Tribolium castaneum: one gene and its partners. The main gene of each other region encodes a partner of the protein of the gene in region 3 in a complex. Links are inferred from orthologs where the notes say so. Each region holds a gene or a part of one and is shown on either strand. Other genes may lie near its edges.

Region 1 (7,390 bases), on a different chromosome or scaffold from region 3:
GCATTTTTTGCAAAGTTGTTATCTTGCAGTCTTGCATCACAGTGAAGAGGTCAGATGAAAGGACTTGGGTGTCCGGACAGTAAAAAACTGAAATTGGAAATTAGATACAGTGGATGGAGCAGACTAGATTTGATTTAAAGTGTGATGCAATTTGCCGCTTATAACGAACTTTTGACCAAAGTATTTGATAGTTGTGTAGACTGAGCCGTTCCTATACGTATGAATTTAATTAATTTCAAATTTGAAAAAAAGACAATAGGGAAAAAGATGCATATTGCAATCAATAACAATGCATTTATTTTGTTTTATTTTTTTTGTGCTCCATAGTGGAAAATAAATGTTAAATTTTTAAATCACATACAATGTGATGTGAAGTGCACATTTAATTAATTTAATTTAATTAAATAAAAAATGTTTTAAAACAAGAAGCGACATTTTAAGAAACAATTATTATAATATTTTTCTTCGTCTGTCCAAAAAATGGTATAATAATGGTGTAATTTTTTAGCCGAACTATAATAACTTTATATTGTACTTTTTTGTCTATGACAAAATTCGATTCTTCTGTTCTCAGCTTCGTACATCGTTTTGCGGCTTATTTGTAACGTGAAACACTAAAAAATTTTGAAGTCAAAGTATTTACACATTCCCTAAATGCTACATTATAATCAGTAGCATCAAAATTAATTGCTTTTTCTGTAAATTCTCGAATATTTTTAGTACGTGGTATATCAAGAGCTTATGTAATAATCCTGTTATTAATTATATGAATGAATTATTCTATAAAATGTAGTAATTTTGGTATAAAACGAGAAAAGAACGGTAATATTGTTGACTATAGACTACTTTTATTTCATTTTTAATAAATTAGATCAGTTATTATGTATTTATTAAAAACCCATTCAAGAAAATATAATTTTTTTTGCAACAACTTAACCGGTAGAGGATAAAATATGTCAACCAATTTTTTTCTTCTTTGACACAGAGAATTAGAATTACTTTATTCGAAAGTTTACATAATGATTAGGCAGTGACATTTAAGTGAATGAAATTTGGTGGTATCTTTGCCAAAAAAAATCAATACAATTTTTTTTATAATTTTTTATGAGGGGACTCATGTTTCTGAGGCTGTGTTTGTAAATTTTAATTCAATTTAAAAGATATTAAAGAACTAAGCTTAATTAAAATTTCATATTTGTTTAAAAGTTTTGTTAATTCCAAATTTATTCGCGGACCAAAACTCTAAGGGAAAATAGCCTATATTGTATTACTTCAATTGTACCTTTGCGAATTTTTAAAGAACAAGTGCTTATATTAACCTTTCAAGATTGTAATTATCACCGGCAGAAAATAATTAGACAGTGTATTCTATTTTAAAGCCGTAGCTATAAATTTTATTGTGTTATTAACGAAAGAACAAATTTTGGACTTAACAATGAAAGCCTGCTCCAGTTTTTCCTAAGGGTTTTTGCGCTGTTATTTCAAATAATGTACAATGCATATTAATAATCTATCAGTTACAATAGTTTAGCGTCCTTTTACCTATACATTATACAAAATCATTTTTAACTTTACCATTTAAGCTGTAATCTCTTTTATTTGTTTTCAGTTTCGAAAAATGTATCACTGCTTGGTTTCCTAAATTATCGCGTTGTTATTCTATGGCGATCATTGCAAAAGTGTCTAATTTTGTTATTTATAACATTCCAAGTTTCTCTCCAGGAGAGAGTTGAAAGATTATTTATTTGTTTATAATTGATTTAACACTAACACATGTTATTTGCATTAAAATGTACACCTCATTTAGATATATCTCCAGTTAAAAAATATATTTCTTCAAATTAACGAAAAAATTAAAAGTATTAAACATATCAACCTACCAAAGAACATTTTTTTCATGAATCATATAAAGTATTTTTCTCAGAATTTGCCAAAAAACAATTTCACTTCTTTTGAGCTCTACTATCAACTTACAAAATTTGCACAACTATGTTGTTTCGCAAAAGATTCATATCGTCAGATGATAAATTTTCTGAGTTGCACTGTATTGAAAAAATTTATCGGACAAACTTACCACAGCAGTGCTTTTGGAACGCTTCAGTAGGTGCTTGTTTATCAACGGAATAACTAACATTAGTGACAAGACTCAACATCACGATTTCGTTTAATCCCGTCTTGGGATTGAAAGCTCTTCTCATGTTAAGAGCAGTGACGACCAACGGTGGCGGTTCAATCGCCTCCTCACATATTGTAACATCGGTTAATTTGTCACAATTTACTTGCAATTTGCACCAAGTCGAGGGATTCGATTCCGGTATCGGATTCGCGATATTTAACCAACAGGGCCCTTTAATTTTACGATCGAGTAAAAAAATCTCGAGATATGAACTCTCGCTCCCAAAAACACGCGAAAACGTCCGCCCTTTGGTGGTTTTATCAATTGGGGGATCTGTGGCCGCATATCTAACTTCGACATAGTCCGATTCTGACGGAACTTCAAGATCGAAAGCGTACTTTTTCGTGACGGGTCGAGCTTTGAAATTTTTGATTCCTTTGGTTTTCATCAGTTCGTTGATTTCGGCGTAGACGTCCTGAGACGTGACCGGCTTTTTGGACTTTTCCTCTTCCACTCTGGGTAAGAAAAAAATCCGCCGGTCGATGTTACGGATAATTACGGTACAGCTCACGTGGGTTTTCGTTTGAGTGTGGTAGGTTTTGCCGAATAAAACCACAACACCCGGTTTGATAAATGGGTCTTCGTAAGCGTCCCACCAAAAAAATCTGAAAACGCTTTTGTCGTCGATTTTCACGAGAGGAATGTCGGAGTTTTGCAAGTCGATTGTGGTTTCGGTGTCTTGGGATACGGACCATTCTTTCAACATTTCGCTTTCAATATTTTCCCACAAATCTTGCTTTTCTTCAATTTGGGGTTTGGATTGCTCTGCTTCAGACTCTTCTAGTTGGGACAGATCCAAATCGTCATCAAAACAGCCATCAGATTGAGTTTCAGCAACTTCTTCACAACTCGCTTGAGTTTCTGCAATTTCTTCACAACTCGCTTGAGTTATTTCTGGCTCCAGTTTATTTTCCGTTAAAATCGTTTCTTCAGTCGGCTTTGCGTGATTTTCCTCCGTTGATATCTTAAGTGGTTGTTTCGCTTTCGGTGTTCTGCTGAGAGTTATTACTGGTTTTTTGATGGAAGTTAATTTCCTCATGTAATCTTTTTCAGCTTGTTTTACCGACAGTGGGGAAAAATTCGATGTTGCGGCCTTGGATTCACGTGGAGTTTCATTAATTTCTTGTAAAAGTTCCGCCAAATCATCATCCTGATCCAACTTTTTTTCCTAAACACACATTAAGCTATATTACGTTTTGATCGTAAAAAATTAACAGACCTCTTTCTTTTTTGATGGCATATTCGAAATGAGGTATTGTAAGTTCCCGCGACCTGCATTTTCCGCCACATTTTTCTTACGTTTAACCCCCTTATTTTTCTTGGAAGAAGCTGCAGCTATTGAAGCATGATCCAAATCATCATCAAATATATCCCGACCGTCTTCTACATAGCCACTGCCGTCTGTTAAACGAATTACTATTAAAATCTGAAGTGTTTTAACATAAAAAAATACCATCATCAACGATCCAGTCGTCATCCTGACGATCTAACACTTTTTTGGTGTATTCTTTCTCATCAACAGTGTCGTAAACATTTTCGAGTTCTTCGACTTCGTATTTATTTCGGAGGCCACTTTTCAATTGCTTAAATTTCTCGAAAGCTTTAGCTTTGTAAGAGGAGTCCCGCTTTTGCCTCTTGGGCCTTCTTTCGGCTAAAACGAAAGATGCGCTTAGTTTTTAACTAAATATTATTTACTTGTGACTCACAGGTATCGTCTTCCATTATCACTATTAGAAAAACACTACAAACAACTATTTACTGGTTTTTAGAAAAATAAAAAATTCACATTGACTTGGCGGGAAAACTTTAATTCTAACCTCACAAACGTGATAGATGATAGTAGTGTTTTATTTGTTTTTATGTTGGCTGACATATTTACAGAATTAAATTTTTTTAGTTTATCTACTGGTGTTTATCTTAAAAATAGTTCATGCGGGAAAAGTTTATGAAACCTTTAATCCAAATAAAAACTTGTTGGGACAATTTCTGTGAAAATTAATTGAAAAAACATAGGTATCTAGTGCTGGCATCACTGCTCATTTAGGCGGTTTCTTTCAAAAAAAAAAAAAACTAATTCGGCAAAATTCCTTTATTCTCTTTCGTACAAATTCTGGTATCTTAATTTGGTTTGCAGCACATCATCCTCAGTGGTAACGACAGTTTGTGGTGGTATTAGCGCACCAGCTACATGTCTTCCTTCAGAACTTAAAAAATTAAACGTTGCACAAGCTTGTTCCGTAGGAAGAATTTCAAATGTTAATTTGTGTTTGCGTGCAAACGGTACAATTTTTTTATAGAAACTGAAATCTTTTTGTGGATCTCCTATTCCTAAAACAATTATATCTAATTTGGGTTCTAATATGGTAAATAACGAAAGTGATTCATCTGTAATTTCGTTGATGTCGCCAACATTCCATGAAAGAACTGATCTAAAAAAACGTTGGTATAATTGTGTTCGATAACACGTTACGTATACTTTGGAAATATTACAACGGAGCCTAAAATCGTCAAATCGTTATTTAATCTAAAACCCGCCTAGAAATTAAACAATCAGTTTGTAATTACGCCACGGAATTGAATAATACTTGACTGAAGCCGTTTATCATTAATCCCACCTCGTCCTCATTGTTTAATATGTTTACGGTTGTTTTTCCTTCACCTTCGTAAGCCCCCGGTGGAGCGCTTAATTTTTTACTGCCGTACAAAAAACGTCTAAAACCGAAAAAGCGTCACAAGACGGTTAATTACCTGAGGTTTTATTAACCTAATCGTATGATTTGTTGCTAATTTGAACAAACTGACGCTTTGTTTAAACATTTTTCTGGAAATCAGAGGTTATGTAATTTGAACATCTGATAAAATTTTGGCGGGAAAATTAAAAAAGTCAGTTGTTATTAAAATTGCATTTATTTAGGCAGTACATAATAATATTTCACCAACATAGTCCCAAGTTATTAAATACGTGTTCCTATGTGTATAACTACTAAATAGACGCTACTTTATACAATATAATCTCACTGAAATGTAAAGTTTAGTAAATAAATAAATAAAGTTTAGGTACGCTATGAATGCGTTTTCATGTGCGTGGATAGGGGCCCGGTTTGCGAAAAAGCTTTATTACAAATATTGCAAGTGTACGGTTTTTCCCCGGTGTGTATTCTAAGGTGTACTTTTAAAGTTGAAGCCTGATAAAAGCCTTTTTTGCAAAAAGGACAAATATGGTTTCTATCCCCAGTGTGAGTTTTTATATGAATGCGTAAATCTTCGCTTCGTGGAAATGCCTTTGGACATAGATTGCACTGGTATGGCTTTTCGCCAGTATGTATTCTTCTGTGTTTTTTTAATTGAGACGAACTGACACAACCACGGCCACAAACGCTACAAACGTAAGGCTTTTCGCCGCTGTGTGATCGCACATGGACTGTGAGTCTCGACGGATCAGGAAAACCTTTACCACATTCGTTGCAAACGTAAGGACGCTCACCTAAAAACAGACACAATGGACAAATAATATTTGCAATTGCACAAGAGAGGAAATTCACTTTGCTTCTGTGAAAAATGTGTATATTATTTTTGCAACTCGCTTTATAGAAAATGATATTTTACTCCCTAATTCCTAAAAATCTCTCTAGGGAGGTAAAGATATATTTTGCACCTTTAGACTAGAGAGCAAAATATCATTTTCTATGAAGCGAGGTGGAAATAAATGCAAGTAAACCAACCTGTGTGCGTCCTTTTATGTATGGTCAGATTACTCGGTGTGGTAAAACCTTTGCCACAGTAAGGACAAATGTGGTCTTTAACGCCCGTGTGAGTCTTCATATGCATTGCAAGAGAACCAGAACCACACAACCTATAATTTTTTTTTCGTAAATTAAAGTATTATTTTTACACATGGTTTGCTACCTTTTGCCACAAACCCCACAAGCGTGGCTTTTTATGCCACTATGTGTCTTATTATGCGCCGCCAAACTCGTATAACGTGAAAAGGCTTTGCCACAAACTGAACAAATGAAACTTTTTTCGTTCGCATGCGCCCTCATATGCTCCAACAGACGAAAAGATTGAGCAAACGATTTGCCGCATAATTTACAAGGAAAAGGCTTTTCACCAGTGTGTGTTCTTATATGTCTTGTAAGATCATCCGATCTCGCAAAACCTTTGCCACACTCACTACACAAATGCCGTTTTGCGCCATCATGTACTTTCATGTGTCGACACAAAGTGCTCGCACTTGCGAAACCTTGATTACAGATTTTACAAATGTGTCTGCTAATTTTCGGATGTGTTTTAGCATGGGCCTGCAATTTTTTTTTTGAGAATTTTTACTGAAATAGTTGAAACACAGCTTCCTTGATCAGTGAAGACAGATTTCAATGTAGCTCCTTCATTGATCAAGGGACTGGTTTGCAAAATAACCTTCAAATCGATCATTGTAGTGAAACACTGAGTGCATTCCTCACATGGATAAATCGGTTGTTCAGTGTCGTCTCTAATTTTCTTTTTCTTTGATTCTCTTTTAGCTCTCAGTTCGTTTATTTTGCTTTCGGCATCGCTACCACACGAATCTGGATCAACTGACAAAAATGTGAATAAAGTACTTAACAAACATAAGTTTCTTCTACTTACTTCCTAACACGTCATTGTCCACAAACTCCAGTTTCATTTTCATGTCTTGGGACCCTTCCGACTTGAAAGAATCCCCAACGTCTATGCTATTCACTGTTGCAACTGCGCTACTAAAAGCCTCATTTACGGAATCTGTTACGGCCTGTATATTTTCCGTGACGGTATTTATAACATCGTTAAATGAAGGTTCGTGTTGATCACTAGACAATAATGGTTTTAATTCCATAAAAGTGGCCTGCATGGGTTTGCCTAGGAGTTGCCGCAACGTTGCATCTGATCTCTCGCATAATTGTTTAAATGAAAAAGCACGAGTTATGTAATGAACACATTGTAAACAAACTTGGTTGGGCAATCCGTCGTTTTCCAAAACCTACAGAGAAACATTGAAAATGGGGCACAAGGGGGACCACCTTTGATTTACCTGCACTGCAGCACAAGACATTAACATTTCAAACAAACGCATTGTTTCGCCGATAGATTCGTCAATGCTAAATACCGAACGCATGTCACCTTCTTCCGAAAGGCAGGTTCTACATATCTTTTCGATTTGGAGTGTTTCGAAAGACATTTTTAAAAAATCGTTTG
Region 2 (7,225 bases), about 2.0 Mb from region 3:
ACGTTCCGAGTAAGAAAAGTGCCTGCATTTCTCCAACTACTAAACAAAATTGCAGTCCCAGCACTTGTCTCTAACAACAAGTGTTTGATTCCGGACTTCTCCCAAATGTATTTCCAACAATTCATGTACTCAATCCCCAAGAAATACACACCGTGCAACCGAAAAAACTACCTCACTTTTGTGACAAAAAGCGAAAATACGGCCACTCTGCACGTCAAGCAACAAAATGGGTTTTACCCCGAAGTTTCCTGCTGTTATTCGAACATTTCACGAAACTTTGACCGAGTAAATCCCGACGATACCATCAAGTAAGAAATTTGTTAATGGGGCAAATTTTTAATTAATTAATTTTGTAGAATTTCCAAATGTCGGAAGTTTACGAAAAATGTGACTTTGGCCACTGACTTCGTCTTGGTCAAGTGTGACACTGGTTCGGTACAATACAAACAAGTCCATGCTGCGATCACGGCCAAAAAAACGACCAAAAATTCCGACATTTGGCCACCACCTTTCAGTGTCTTGATTCTAGGAATCGACAAGATTTCGCGCCTAAGTTTCATCCGGAATTTTCCAAAAACCCGTCATTATCTAACGTCGAACAATAAGTGGGTTTCTTTGAACGGCTACGCGAAAGTGAGTGACGACACTTTCACCAACATTTTGGCCCTTTTAAGCGGTTGCAAAACCATGGAGTGTGATTTAATTTGGTCCGAGTTCGAAAAATACAACTACACCACAGCGTTCGGTGAAGATGACGTGTGGTCAAAAACTTTCACCTTCCACAAACAACTCACAGATTACTACTTCCGGCCCTATTTTATCGCAAACGAAAAATACCCAACCGTGGAACTCAATAAAATGTTCCCGTGTCCAGACCGCGAAACGCCCTTTGAACGCCTCCTGGACCTGGCCAAAGACTTTAGTGTCACGTTCAAAAACCACCCAAGTTTCGCCCTTTTCTGGATCAAAACGGCAACTGTGGGAACCTTCCCGAAGCTGGACTACTCGATCCGGGCACTTTTCCGGCACCTGAACCGGAAAGGCGTGTTCGCGAACACGTTCGTGTTCTTCCTGAGCGATCAAGGGAGGCGTGAGGGGAAAAACGAGTTTACAAATGTGGGCTGGTTGGAGGAAAAACTGCCTTTCGTTTATGTTCTAGTCCCGAAAAAATTCCAAGAGATTTATTCCGAAGAGTTCAGGTTTTTGAAACTTAAGCAAAACGAGTTAACCACTCCGTTTGATCTGTACATGACTTTGCAAGACATTATGGTGCTGACTCAGGTGAATCAGGACCCGAAACCTAGTCAGAGTTGTCCGAGGTGTGAGTCGCTTTTTATGGATGTTACGGAAAAGTCGTGTCTGGATTCGGAAATTGAGAATAGGTCTTGTCCCTGTGATGGGTTCGTTTTGACGAATCTTGACGATTTAGTTGTGAGGAACGCCTCACTTTTTATTGTGAATAAAGTAAATGAGTTTGTTGATCAGCGAATGTGTCGGAGTTACGAGTTGAGGAAAGTGTTAAGTTCCAGTGCTTCCTGGAGTTCGGGTTACAAGAAATTACTAATAAGTGTCCAAACGTACCCCTATTCAGTTTTTGAGGCGTTTGTTACGTATGTTGATAAGGTTTTTGAGCTCGATGGTGAAATTAAAAGGCTAGATTTTGCCATTGTTAGGTGTGTTAGTGATTCGTTTTTGAAAAAATATTGTGTGTGTAAGGGTAAATAAAACGATAAAATTATAAATGTTCATTTATTTCGTAATCAGTAACAATGAGTAATAAAAAACGTAAACTAATTAATATTCCATTACAGTTCCTGGAAATTCAAACAATTAATTTGTGTTCGTTACATCAAGGCAATAAAAATCACCATTTTTTATGGCCCTGTTTCGGGCAGCTGAAGCCTGCAAGCCTCTTAAAAACTCGCAAAAAATTGTAACATATTTGAGTAAACTTGTCTTCTTGTAGTCTTTTATTTTAACACTGGTTTGGGAATTTTCCGCTAAATCTTTCTCCTGAGCTTTGGTTTTGGCATCGTAGGTGTTTATCTCGTCCAAGAGTTGGCTAAAATGCTTCCTGAATAAACTGCACGCCACACAAAATGTGCCACTTCTTATAATCACTCAGAAACCATTTTTCTCGGTGTTTGTTAAGAAAGCAAAATGCTCTGTGAATACTAAACTGCACACCGGAAAAAATGTGCCACTTTTTATACAGAGTTAGTGCATTTTTACTGTACCTCAAACACTAATAATCACTCAGAAACCATTTTTTTTTTCTATGTATGTATTCTTTTATAATCAAAATTACTTAAACAAATATTCGCCAGCCTCAAAAAAGAGACCCTGTATATTTCCGTAAAAAATCGGGCAAAAAATGTGAAAAAATAAGACACAGTTTCGGGCAGAAGTATAACAGCAACACTTGTATAGTATTCAAAGTGGTACATTTTCAGTGTCGGGCAGTTAATTACCTGACTGTGGGTACGGCATCTGGGTCAAAATGCTCGATGAATTTGGGCTTAAAAGGCACCGAAACTTTGCCACTTTTCGGGTGAATGCAAAACGGCGCTTTCAGCAAGTGATTTAAGCTTTTGGTGACGTTGATATCAAGTCGCGGATACGCATAGTAAAATTTCATCTCCTCAACCATGTATCTGTAGTGTTTTGGTATTTTTTGCTCTCTTTGTAACGTCTGAAAAGTGTTAACAAAAGCCTTCCAGCGCTCGACCGAAGTCTGAACTTTGGTCATTGCGTCTCGAAACAAAGGACTAAAACCCTCGTCAATGTTGCCCAAAAAAGCGTCCAAGCGCTCATAAGTCCCTAAAATGTCCTGTTCGACAAGAATCGACTTTTCGAAATATTCATCAATGACTTTTAAGGCCCTCCTTGAATTAACCAATTATTACACAACTTGGGAGCAAAAATGAGGAGATAATTACTCAGTGGCCGCATGCATGTTGAAAAACTTGACTTTTCGTACCACAAGGCCCCCTCGCAACAAAGTCAAATATTCAGCAATAGCCGACCGTTGATTATCATCCAAGATCCGGGCCTTTTTATCAGCCACCCAACAATGGATGCCTCTCCGACCCGAAAACACCCATAAAATGTTCTCAAAACCGAAGTCCTCCCGTAAAGCCCCATCCAAAATCTTGCACGCAATCACCATAAACTTCCAGCATTTGGGGCACACCCCAGCTCCCGTACAACAAGTCCGAACATCATCATAATCAGTCATATCGATATCAAACACAATCTCTCGCTCGACTGGTGTTTTGGAGCTAGAGTAACTTCCAGACGACTCAAGTCGCTGCTTGTAAATAGCCCCAATATCGATTTTAACCGGGAAGCGTTTATGGAGCGCTTGGGCAAAGTCCTCCGCATTTTCGAAACTCTGGTAACGGAGGTAAATGTCTCCGACTAGAGTGAACGAAATTTCGCGCCGGTTGGACACGTTGGGGTCACCTGAGGGGCTCACTTGACCAAAATCGAGCTTGGAGGCAACTTACCGTAGCAAAGCCATTTGTGGAGCGCTGTATGGGGGAACAGACGCTTGTAGTAGATGGGGAGCAGGTCAGGGAGGCTGTCTTCATTGTACAAAGAGGCACTCATCACGCAAAACACAGTGACAACTTTTCCCGCCAAAAAAAGTGAGGTTGTGTCGCAATTGGTTGCGAGCTTATGCAACCAACATTACGTCATTTATTTTTTTATTTAAATTTCGTTGCATAATGATCGATATCATCAGTGTGTAAAAACATGAATTTGCTATTTATTTGATTATTTATTAAGTAAAGGGTAAAATACAACATAATCATTTTATATCATGGGTTATGCAACCAACATCCGGTCACATTGTAATGTTTCAATTAAAAAAGCTCATTTTTGTGCGAACGGGAAATCGGGGTGTTTATCAAGTCTAAAATAACCAAAGTAAGGCTAAAAACTGACTCTGTGATTATTCTTTACCCTCCAAAGACCTTAAAATCGCAAACTCTGGCCGCCTCCCCCACATTTAAACCATACAAAGTTTTCATCTCATCGTCACTCAACACAAAATCGAACAATTTTCGATTTTCATCGATTCGTTTCGGCGTTACACTTTTAGGAATAACCGCAATGCCCCTCTGAATCAAGAAACGTAACGCCACTTGAGCTGGTGTTTTTTTGTGTTTTTTTGCAATCTCACTAATTTTTGCATCTTCCAAAATATTTGCCAACTGTCTGGGTCTGCAAAAAAGTGTCTAGAAATGAAAAAAAGGGCGCAAAAATCGTACTGTTGGCCCATTTTTTGCAAAAACTTGTTCATGCCGGGATTCCCCAAAGGAGAGTAGGCAATAACAGCAATTCCGTTTTTTTGACAAAATTCTACAAGTTCGCGTTGTTGCAAATAGACGTGGAGTTCGACTTGAAGTGCGGCGGGTTTAATTTTTGCGTTTTTTAGCACGGTTTCAATTTGAGAAATGTTGTAGTTTGATAAACCGATATTTTTGGCCCTTCCGGCATCAACCTGCTCTTCCATTTTCTACAAAATTTACAACAATGGGCAAAAAATAGCTACAAGTTGTGTTAATTCGTTCATAATTAATACTGTTTAAAGCACGAACGAGCAATAGCGAGTGAGCGCATCAAATAGCCCACTATTTTATTCTGGTAAAACGGTGGTAATTCGGTAATTGATAAAGCGTTTTTTGTGTTAAGTTATTTTTTTTCAAACCTTCCACAGGGCGACGTGGTCGGTCTTTCCCTCAGTCTCAATCTCCCCTTTATCGTTAAATCTGGGCCGTGCTTCCCCCTCGTAATAAGTACAACCAACGGGGAAATGAATCAAGTACAAATCGACGTAATCCAATTGCAAATTCGTCAATGACTTTTTTATAAACATGTCAACCCTGTCTGGGTGAACCCCCGTCATCGGAAGTTTAGTCGTAATAAAAACGTCCTGTCTTTTCAAGCCGGAAGCAAAGCGTTTTTTCAACACTTTCCCAATCGCCGCCTCATTTTCATAAACCCAAGCTGTGTCAATGTGCCGATAGTCTAAATCTAGGGCGTTGTTGACCGCAGTTTCGATTTCTTCATCGCTTATCGCCTGATTGATAAAAAATGAAATAAAAAAAATTTGATGCCAATAACCCACCTCCCAAGTCCCTAGGCCCAAAGCCGGCAGTTTTTGCCCACTTGGGAGCTTCAAATACAGTTGCGAGCCCATTTTTGTATAAAATAACGCAGAATGGAATTGCTGACAAGTATTGTCAAGAATTTTGTTAAAAATGCGAAGCTACAACGACAGACATTAAAAAAAAACGGAGATTTACTCACGGAAAAGTACCAGTCTTAGACCACTCGTGAGTTTGTTCAACATGAGAATAAATTAGAAAAACCTTGAAAAAATAACAGCTGAAAGGTTTTATTGGCTCTTCCGTGTTTATGTTATTACATAAGGTGGAGGTTATGCAACCAGTTATAAGTACAGTCGACCAGAAATTAAATTCTTCGGAGACACTCTCTTTATATTTTTTCAATTACAGCTAAACTATTCAAAAAAGTAAAACTATTTTTGTAAAATGATCTAAAAAATTAACTGGCGTCAAAAAAAACGCAAAATACCAAATAATTTTTTAGATTTTTTTATTTTCACCAATTTTTGTTTTTATGAGCAATGTCCGAGAAAAAGATAGATAATTAAAAGAGCTTTCCAACGATAATAAACTCAATAAAGTTGCGTCCAATAGTTCCAGGGTTATAACTCGATAAATGTTCCGGGTACCGGAAATCGATCAAAATTATTACAAAAGTTGAAACAGTTTTTTTTTTAAATAAAACTTCTTAACGTATTCTTACAATTTTAAAAACTCTAGAAGTTTTCTTTACTACAGCAAAAGAAAAATATTTTTTGACGTGACCATCATAATTTTAGCCAAAAATAAAAAAAAATAATTGTTGTAACAATAGGCTAAAAAACACACCATCAAATAATGTAATAAGTGTTTTTGCACTATTAATAAAGAGCTTTAAAGGCAAAAACGAGTAAATTATTACTATGACACGCAACCAGCGATGCAAGAGTGAATTAATAGTGGCCGACATTAACAAAAAAAGTTTTTGTATTATTTTTATTTATCGGATGCAACTGATAATGCACATTTGACCTTGACTTATTTTAAATAAATCATGTTTATGTAATTATAAATTCAATCAAATTAATTATAGCAAAGATAAAATTAATTAGTTTCAGTAATTTACCTTTCAGCACTTGTGGAAATGATAAATTTTTTTCTTACGATTTGGAAATAAGTAAGAAATAAATTATACAATTTAATTAAGATAAGAGTGGCAAAATGAATAACCTTTAATCAATTTGGAAATTTTGATTTAAATTCAGCCAAGTAAAATTCCAATTTATTACGAATCCTCTTGCATCAAGCGAATGGTAAATGTAAATGTAAAAATTTGCCTTGAGCCAAAATTAACATTTACGACCAAACGAACACAATAGAACTAAGCTTTATTTTTGTAAAACTAAAATAGAAAACAATTAATAAAAATTTAACGTATAATCAGTGATTGTGAGTGTAGAAGATATGTTTTCGTAGTGTAGTGGTTATCACGTGTGCTTCACACGCACAAGGTCCCCGGTTCGATCCCGGGCGGAAACAGTCTTTTTTTTTTTCGTTTTAACGCATTACCAATCATTTTGTAAAAATTCTCAAACGTCCTCAAAGAGTTAAAATAACAAAAAATACAATTGGGGACTTGGTCGTTAAATAATATAATACCTCCGATGTCCTCATTCTGTTCATATGGCGAAACTTCCGACTGGAAAACATTAGATAAAAGTCACTTACAATAGAAGTAATTTAAAGTTGAGATTACGCCCTATTTCAGTGTTTACACATCCGGAAACCTCTTAAAAACTTTGAGCATTCCACCTAATGTGGCATAATTACACAAGAGCCGCATTAAAAACTTGGCAATTTTGCAGAAAAATGTCTCAGAAAGCGAGTCCCTTGCCGATTACATCTATTACAAGTTTGCAGACTATTGATTGGGTCCGAGTTATGGGCGAAATTAGATTAACCCGCAGCGAGCGATTCTTTTCACAATAGCGGCCCACTTGCAACTTTTACTTTTGTTTAGCAACTAGTAATTATAGTGAAATTGTTTGAAATTTTCTCGAATTGGAAAATTGCACAACAAGGCATGGGTCGCCGATTAAATCAGTTTA
Region 3 (7,319 bases):
TTGCAATTTCTGAAGATTTAAACACGTTTCTAGACTAAAAATCAAGTTTTTGTCTGTTTTTATTAAACTAGAACGAAAAAAAATCACCCAATTTGGTCGAAAATGACCAAAAATTTACTCTTTCTAAGCGTTTATTCAACAAAAACTCAATTATTGCGCAAAAATTCGTAAAAAGTAAGCTAATAAATCACAAAATTATGTCAAAAATGACATTATTTTTGCAAGTTTTGAGGATTTAAACACGTTTTTAGGCCGAAAATCAAGTTTGTTTCATTGTTTTTATTAAACTAGAACGAAAAAATCATCAAATTTGGTCTAAAATGACCAAAAATTTACCTTTTCTAAGCGTTTATTCAGTAAAAATTCAATTATTGTACAAGATTTCCTAAAAAGTAAGCCAATAAATCACAGAAATATGTCAAAAATGACATTATTTTGGCAAGTTCTGAAGATTTAAACACGTTTTAGATCAAAAATCAAGTTTTTTTCCTTTTTTTATTAAACTAGAACGAAAAAATCACCAAATTTGGTCGGAAATGACCAAAAATTTACCTTTTCTAAGCGTTTATTCAGTGAAAACTCAATTATTGCGCAAAATTTCTTAAAAAGTAAAGCAGAATTATGTCAAAAATAAGATTATTTTTGCAGGTTCTGAGGATTTAAACACGTTTTAAGAACAAAAATTAAGTTTTTTTTAAGTTTTCCCCTATTTTTATTAAATTAGAACGAAAAATCACCAAATTTGGTCGGAAATGACAACAATCCATCGATATTTTTTCATTTTAAAAACGTATTCTAGAAAGATATAGCGAAACTTGCAAAGGTGACACACATAATCGTTATTGAAAGACTTAACATTAATTGGCTATATAAATTATTTAGAAAGAATAAAATAAAACAGTTTTAATAATTTTTTACAAAGGGTTTTATCGTTCTTTATTTTGTAAGAGGCATCTTTTTAATTTTTTAAAAGCGGGAAGTAATATAGAATTTTTATGTATGCACCGGTTTCAAAAGTAAAAAAAATAATTAAATAGTTTTAAATGTAGTTTTCTAAGCTGGTGCTTTTAATTTCATTTCATAATTTTTAGTTTTTTCGGTACAAATATGTGCAATATATTCCATTTTTACCAAAACTTATTATTTAAAAAAATTAGCAAATTGGAAAAAGACTACAAGTTCGATTATTTTGCATTTTTTTCACTTCCTTGCTAAAAATTGTAGAATCTTAAGCACACTTGTACGTATTTACATATTGCATCTTTTTATGACTCCTGCTTTCACATTTATTATCTTCTCAACGTTTACAAAAACTATTACCGGTACGGAATTTGTCCCAGTTTCTACAACTTCTTTTATTTTTAATTATTTTATTTTGTTTTGTTTTTAATGTTCACAATTTCGTTCATGTTCCTGGTATTCTTTATTTACTTAAATTTTGTGTTCCTCACTGTTCTGTACTTATAAAAGTGTAGATTTAAAAAAAATGTGCCAACACCATAAATTTCGGTGTTGTTTCCAGGTTGTGCGCATTATAAGGAATCAGCCGCAGCCCGACCACGAGAAGCAAAAGCGGCGGAAGCTCAGCAAGCTTGGAAAATGTATTATTATTTAATTTGCTTTTCTCTATGTTAACAGGCCTATTAATTGTATCCTATAGCTTTAAAGTCAAGTGTTCAATGTTACGTGTCATAGATTATTGTATTCTCTGTATGATGAGTCCAAGGCAAACTACATCATGTTTCAAGAGGACCAAAAACTGCTCATTTTGCTTAAAATTGGCTCCCGATGGTACGAAAAACACGGCACTAATTTATTTCAGACCTTCAAAACGACATTGTGATATTTTCGATTTTTATACATATGTTTAGAGGGATGAAAACAGTAGTCTTGTTGACTTGTATTATAACCCGCTCATGTTTTATTTGATAACCGATTTAGCTATTTTTTAATACTAGGCGTTAATCTAGAGTTTCAGCACGGGCTTCAAGTATTAGCCAAAGAAACGTACAGTTGTTAGGTCAAACAATTGAATGACTCAGTTTTATTTACCAAAGTTATTTTAGTAGAGATAGCTTAAACTCTAGATTACAATATGTTTTTGACACTTTATTACGAATGTAATCTTTTGTGTACGATGTGTTAATAAAATTTATTTGAATGGAATTTTTGGGCCATTGAAGTCACGAAACACAATTATTATTCTCCAAAATATTTATTTAACTATAAAATACAACGTGAAAGCATGTATCAACAATTAAAGTCTTTGGGACTTTATTAAAACCAAATTAAAAAAACGGATGCAATTTAGACTGAAGGGTAAATATAAAATAAATTATTAAAAAATAACGTTTAATTGTAGTAACAGATATTATTTCTTATTGCCTGAAGCTCCTTTTTCAATATTCATGCTCTCTTCAAAATACTGATTAGGGTGATTAATTCCATTTCCCAGCGCTTTTCCGTGAGTGTATTCGAAATATTTTCCACAAGCTAGTTGATAATGACCATCAGAAACAAGCTGCTTGATTTCATTAGCACCTGTAATAGGTACAAAAAGTACTTCATTTAAATAAAAAAGTAAGCCAACTTACCATCAACGCTCACACCACATTCGATAACTTTCTGCTTAACAAGATTAACATCCCAGTGCTTAAACGGACAGCCATGGTGCTCCCCAGGCCCCACACTACTCGTAATAATTTTAACACAACTGTAGGGCGAATAACTGGCCCTTTTCCCCACCAACCCATACATGTGTTTGATATTGTAAACGTAACCCTTCTCAAACTGATTCAAATCCATTTTTTTCGTGAACTCATCCCTCCAAAATTTGAGCGCATCTTCGTACAAAAGCCCGATAGCTTTCAAGAAAAGACCGTAAGTTAGACGGCCTTGGTGTTTATGGTGGTGTTCAGACCGCAAAACCTCATGCATGTGTTTCATGCAGAGAGGGAAGTGTTTTTTAGCATATGTGTCCAGATCTGCTGGATCGACACTTTCGTGGTTTTCACGGACTCGGTAATTTTGGCCCGTGTGCAAATTGTGGAAATTGGACAAAAGGGGCCCAATACGCTCGTCGTCGAAAAGGTGGATGCGGTGGCTGTACCACTGAAAGTTTCGAATTGGAGTTATTTTAGAGCACGACGAGCGTAGCGAGCGAGTGCCTTCAATAGTTGAGAACATAAGCGCCCATTTCGTTTTACAATAAAATATAAAAAAATCATCTTACGTAAAATAGAATATAAGAAAAAATTTGGTTATTAATTTTGGTTCCACAAGCTTTATAACACTTGTCTAAATATGATTTTTTTCTAAAATAGCAGGAATTAAATGTTTAAACATCAAAATCACAAATTGTTAAACGGTCAAGGTGGCGTGTGTCGAAATAAAAATCGTAGTCACGCGTGCTGTGAAAATTTCATAGGTAACTACCAATTGTTGCTGAAATTTACAAAGCACTCTTGACCACGTTTTTATTGGGGTGCTCAGTTTTAAAACGAAATAGTAAGTCCATAAAAATAAATAAAATATGCAGTCGATCTCAAACCATACATCACAGTATTTTTAAATTAAACTGCTGGATTTCAAACCTGTCAGAGTGCAAATGTTAAACGTTTTAAAAAAAAAATTCCGTTTGATGTTTTATTGTTATTGTAGAAAAAATAGGTTTCAGTTAATAATAAATTTTCGGTACTTATAACAAAATTCTTATAGCATTTATAGCAGAATATTTTTAAGATACGTTTATAATTTCTCTGAAAATGACTAAAATTGGGCTTATTTCGTTATATATGTTTTTATATAACTAGACTTACAGTTAGCTCTTCGCTTAATTCAGCCCTGAACTTCGACTGGATGCAGACCACCAGCTCGCTGGACGGAATATAGGCAAACCCAGCCTTAAGAAACACTTTCCGGCCCCTCACCAACGAGCAAACTTCAGTAAAAGGCACTTTAAAAAATTCAGTCTCCTCGAACAGAATCAACCCCGCAGTTGACGCCTCCAGTTCATGCCTTAGCGAAACCTTCTCCTCCTCCGAAATAGGAGTATATGAGAATTTATAAATTCGTAAAAAATTCTTGACCCCCTCGCGCGACTGAGCCGTGAAACGAATCCAAAACCACTCGAGTTCCCTGCTCAAAAACCACCGTCGCAATTGCTCCGAGCGGCAATACGCCAGCCGGAGGATAAAGTGTGAGAGGTAATCGGCCTTGCGGGCTTGGTAATCCAAGTCGCTCGTGCCACTGGTGCCCCCCATCAAGCGCACGTATTTTTTCAACCCTGCCTTGGCCAAGTCGTCCTTAATGCACGTCTTCCACTGGTCGCTGTACAACCGGTTGCCTTTGGGGGCCGCTTGCTCGATAATTCGCAGCAATTTGAGCCGGTCCAGGGCGATTTGCTCGAATTCCAGGATGGAAATCTCGCTTTTGGGGCTTTCGCGGTACATGCTCACGTCGTGGGGGTACAGCTCGGAGAGGGGCTCCTCGGCGGTGGCTTTTCGCACCGTGCGGCGATACGACGTGAAATCCATGGCGAAAATTCACAATTTACAGTGTTTAGTTAAAACTTAACTCACTTAACCTCACATTTAAATGGTATCCCGCCAAAAACTGGCACCAATATCTGGGGACTAGCTAAAATCACTGCCCGGTTTTTGGGGGCAAAACCAACGCTCAGATATTTTCCAGGTGTGGCGTTCCACCCCGTGTGGCATTTGAAACAATCAAAAAGGAATAATGAGTCGAAATATTGGGCCAAATTAATTTAATTTGAACTTTCTTGTAATTTTTTTATTTCACGGTTGGTGAAAGTGAAACCCACCACGTGTGGCAAAGTTAAATGTCAACTATCAAGTTTAAATAAGTTTTTTTTTGTGTAAATATCAACATTATCTAAAACCAATTGCTGTTAATAAGTGGAAAAACGTAAGTTTTTTCTGCTTTTTGTCAATACAATGCGTAGATTTGCACCAGTCGATAAAAAACGGCACGTGTCGTTAAGTGAGGTTATGTTTTTTTGATCTGTTTTCCTTTAGCAAAAATGGGGAAGTTCCGGTCCAAGCTGAAGGGCCAGGCCAAGGGCAAGCGGTGGCCGAAGGGCCAGAGCTCGAGCTCGAACCCCGAGACGCACAAGTACCGTGATTTGGCCAAATCGCGTTTCTTTCAAGAAAATCTGGGCTCGAGCGGTTTAACGTCTGAGGCTTTGCGCAAACACGATGCAGTTCAGGCCTTCAAGCCGCGGCCGGACCCAGAGCCCATGGGCGTGGACGAGGATGTGGAGTCGTCAGTTGGCACCTACTCCTCGTACAAAACCATGGAATCGTTTGCGTCCGAATGGTCGAGTTACAGCAACATGTCGTTCACCCGCTTTTTGAAAGTCTTCCGGGCCGATTCCGCCCTGCATAAGGAGATGCTGGCGATGCTTGCGGCGATTAGCGAGGTGATTAGGGAAAACGGGGGCTCTGAGACGGCCACTGAATATTATTGTTCGCTGATAACTGCACTTGAACGTGTGTATGAGGGGGAGGAGCGCAGTGAGGAGCAGTTGACGGCGGCGTTGGCTTTGCTGAATATGGGGATCAAGACGGTGCCAGAGCCGGTTTTACGCCGGACTTTTAGCGATTTATCGGCGAAAGTTTTGCACATTCTTAATGATTACGTCGATTCTGATAATAATACGATCGTTAAGTCGATTTTTGGGATTTTGGGGACGCTTCTGAGGAAACAGGAATTGATTGTTTGGACTAACGAAGCAACGGTTAAGATTTTTACCTCGATGTTGAACCCCTTTTGTCTTCATACGAAACCAAAAGTGAGGCACACCTGAGGTGGATTAAGTGGACTGGGGTCCAAAAATATATTTCTACTACGTTTCAAAAATTAATCTCACAGATTTTTTTTTATTTTAATTACTTAATTAGTTAATTAAAATAAAAAATATTTTTGGCAATTAAATGGCAGCACGTTTAATTGAATTAAGTTGCCATTTACTTGAAAATGGTCGACAAACTTTAACGGGACTTTTTCAACATTCGAGCATCGTTAATTTTTTTCATCCTCTCCATAATAATTTATTAATTTTAATTATATAAAGAATTGTCGATAAATAAAAAAAATCATGCTTAGGAAAAAAGTTATCCAATCGTAAACCCTGGTTTTTTGTGTCGTTATTTGTTTTTGAAATACAGCAAAAATATATATAATATATAATAAAAAAATAAAAATATATAATAATACAATTTTAATAAAAAACAGGTTCGCAGGCCCTTAATCCACCTCTGAAAAATCGTAAAAACTGTCCCTAATTTGTGATTTTTAGTGGCGTAAAGCAGCCCAACAAGCTGTAATTTTAGTCGTAAAATCTGACTATTTCACCTCAACTAACACGAATATTGCGGCTGATAAAATCGCCGAATTTTGCGAGCAAACTTTAGACACTTGTATGGGAGGTAATTCGGGCGCTATTTTAGTTTCTTCAATACAGGCAGGTCAGACGACCATTTTACACACTCTGGGGTTGTTGAAAGACACAATTTGTAGTTTTTCAAAGTCGCACATGAAGGTACAGTTGTTTTTTTAGCTGCGACGATAATACGATTTTTTTTTTTTTTTTAGAAATGTTGCGAGATTATTTTAAGATTGATGACTCTAAACTACCCAATCGTCACGTCATGTGGCCTACAGGTGCTCCATGCGCTTTTTTCGGCCCAAACGGCTGTGGTTCCCCCAAAATTGAACGCCCAGTTAATTTCAGCGTTGTACGAATACCAGCCGGCTGCAGGTGATGTCCAGCCGACTTTAGCCTGGTTGGCTGTGATGCAGCAAGCGCATGTGCATTTGGCCGAGTCGGTGTTTCCCCCAACTTTTTATTTTTTTTTATTTTAAATTTTTTCTAGTGTTGATTTGGCCGCATCGTGTGCAGCGTTACCGAAAATTTTCGCAACAATAAGTCAGTTGTGGCTGTCGGAAAAAAGCGAAATTATGACTGCAGCCACTCATGCCTTGGAAAATTTACTCAAAGATGCTGTTGGTCCAGCTTGTGCTATTAAAGAACAAGTGGAACAGTTTAGCTCGAAAATTAACAAGTGTTTCAGTTGTGTTGAAGCTGGTCTTGGGTACCAGTACCATAGTGTGTGGCATCAGGTTCTGCATTTGATCGCGGTCATGTTTGAGGTAAAAAATAAAAAAAACAATAGTTACTTATTTATCAAGGCACTAAGTTCATTACGTGGGTAACGGAAAATTATTAAATTTTAAAAATGCTTGCAGATTTAAAACCGAAAAGTTGTAAAAAGATACATGTTAGCTATTCTACA

What was found.
Region 1: Prim2 (region 3) and PolA1 share a complex: the UniProt entries of both Drosophila melanogaster proteins name them as parts of the alpha DNA polymerase complex. The link is inferred for Tribolium castaneum from reciprocal best matches to the Drosophila melanogaster genes Prim2 and PolA1.
Region 2: Prim2 (region 3) and Prim1 share a complex: the UniProt entries of both Drosophila melanogaster proteins name them as parts of the alpha DNA polymerase complex. The link is inferred for Tribolium castaneum from reciprocal best matches to the Drosophila melanogaster genes Prim2 and Prim1.

What each region holds. Positions count from the first base shown.
Region 1 is NC_087398.1:9,861,115-9,868,504, reverse strand, and holds the start of PolA1 (DNA polymerase alpha catalytic subunit), read right to left. Parts: upstream 4,036-7,390; 5' UTR 3,899-4,035; coding exon 3,883-3,898; intron 3,828-3,882; coding exon 3,630-3,827; intron 3,578-3,629; coding exon 3,396-3,577; intron 3,345-3,395; coding exon 2,075-3,344; intron 88-2,074; coding exon 1-87. Other genes in the region: NADH dehydrogenase [ubiquinone] 1 alpha subcomplex assembly factor 3, read right to left, coding at 4,266-4,605, 4,653-4,711, 4,762-4,888, 4,941-4,993; zinc finger protein ZFP2, read right to left, coding at 5,239-5,660, 5,899-6,029, 6,083-6,477, 6,596-6,753, 6,806-7,175, 7,227-7,373. UniProt on the Drosophila melanogaster protein: Catalytic subunit of the DNA polymerase alpha complex (also known as the alpha DNA polymerase-primase complex) which plays an essential role in the initiation of DNA synthesis.
Region 2 is NC_087395.1:25,581,569-25,588,793, forward strand, and holds Prim1 (DNA primase small subunit), read right to left. Parts: upstream 3,760-7,225; 5' UTR 3,613-3,759; coding exon 3,510-3,612; intron 3,466-3,509; coding exon 2,940-3,465; intron 2,886-2,939; coding exon 2,472-2,885; intron 2,063-2,471; coding exon 1,869-2,062; intron 1,815-1,868; coding exon 1,795-1,814; 3' UTR 1,736-1,794; downstream 1-1,735. Other genes in the region: uncharacterized protein LOC659605, read left to right, coding at 1-9, 56-308, 357-1,725; aldo-keto reductase family 1 member B1, read right to left, coding at 3,880-3,919, 3,970-4,230, 4,278-4,525, 4,718-5,089, 5,138-5,278, 5,330-5,362. UniProt on the Drosophila melanogaster protein: Catalytic subunit of the DNA primase complex and component of the DNA polymerase alpha complex (also known as the alpha DNA polymerase-primase complex) which play an essential role in the initiation of DNA synthesis.
Region 3 is NC_087395.1:23,553,047-23,560,365, reverse strand, and holds Prim2 (DNA primase large subunit), read right to left. Parts: upstream 4,769-7,319; 5' UTR 4,536-4,768; coding exon 3,819-4,535; intron 3,112-3,818; coding exon 2,595-3,111; intron 2,542-2,594; coding exon 2,372-2,541; 3' UTR 2,251-2,371; downstream 1-2,250. Other genes in the region: ras-related protein M-Ras, read left to right, coding at 1,523-1,615; RRP12-like protein, read left to right, coding at 5,045-5,815, 6,323-6,565, 6,619-6,848, 6,900-7,176. UniProt on the Drosophila melanogaster protein: Regulatory subunit of the DNA primase complex and component of the DNA polymerase alpha complex (also known as the alpha DNA polymerase-primase complex) which play an essential role in the initiation of DNA synthesis.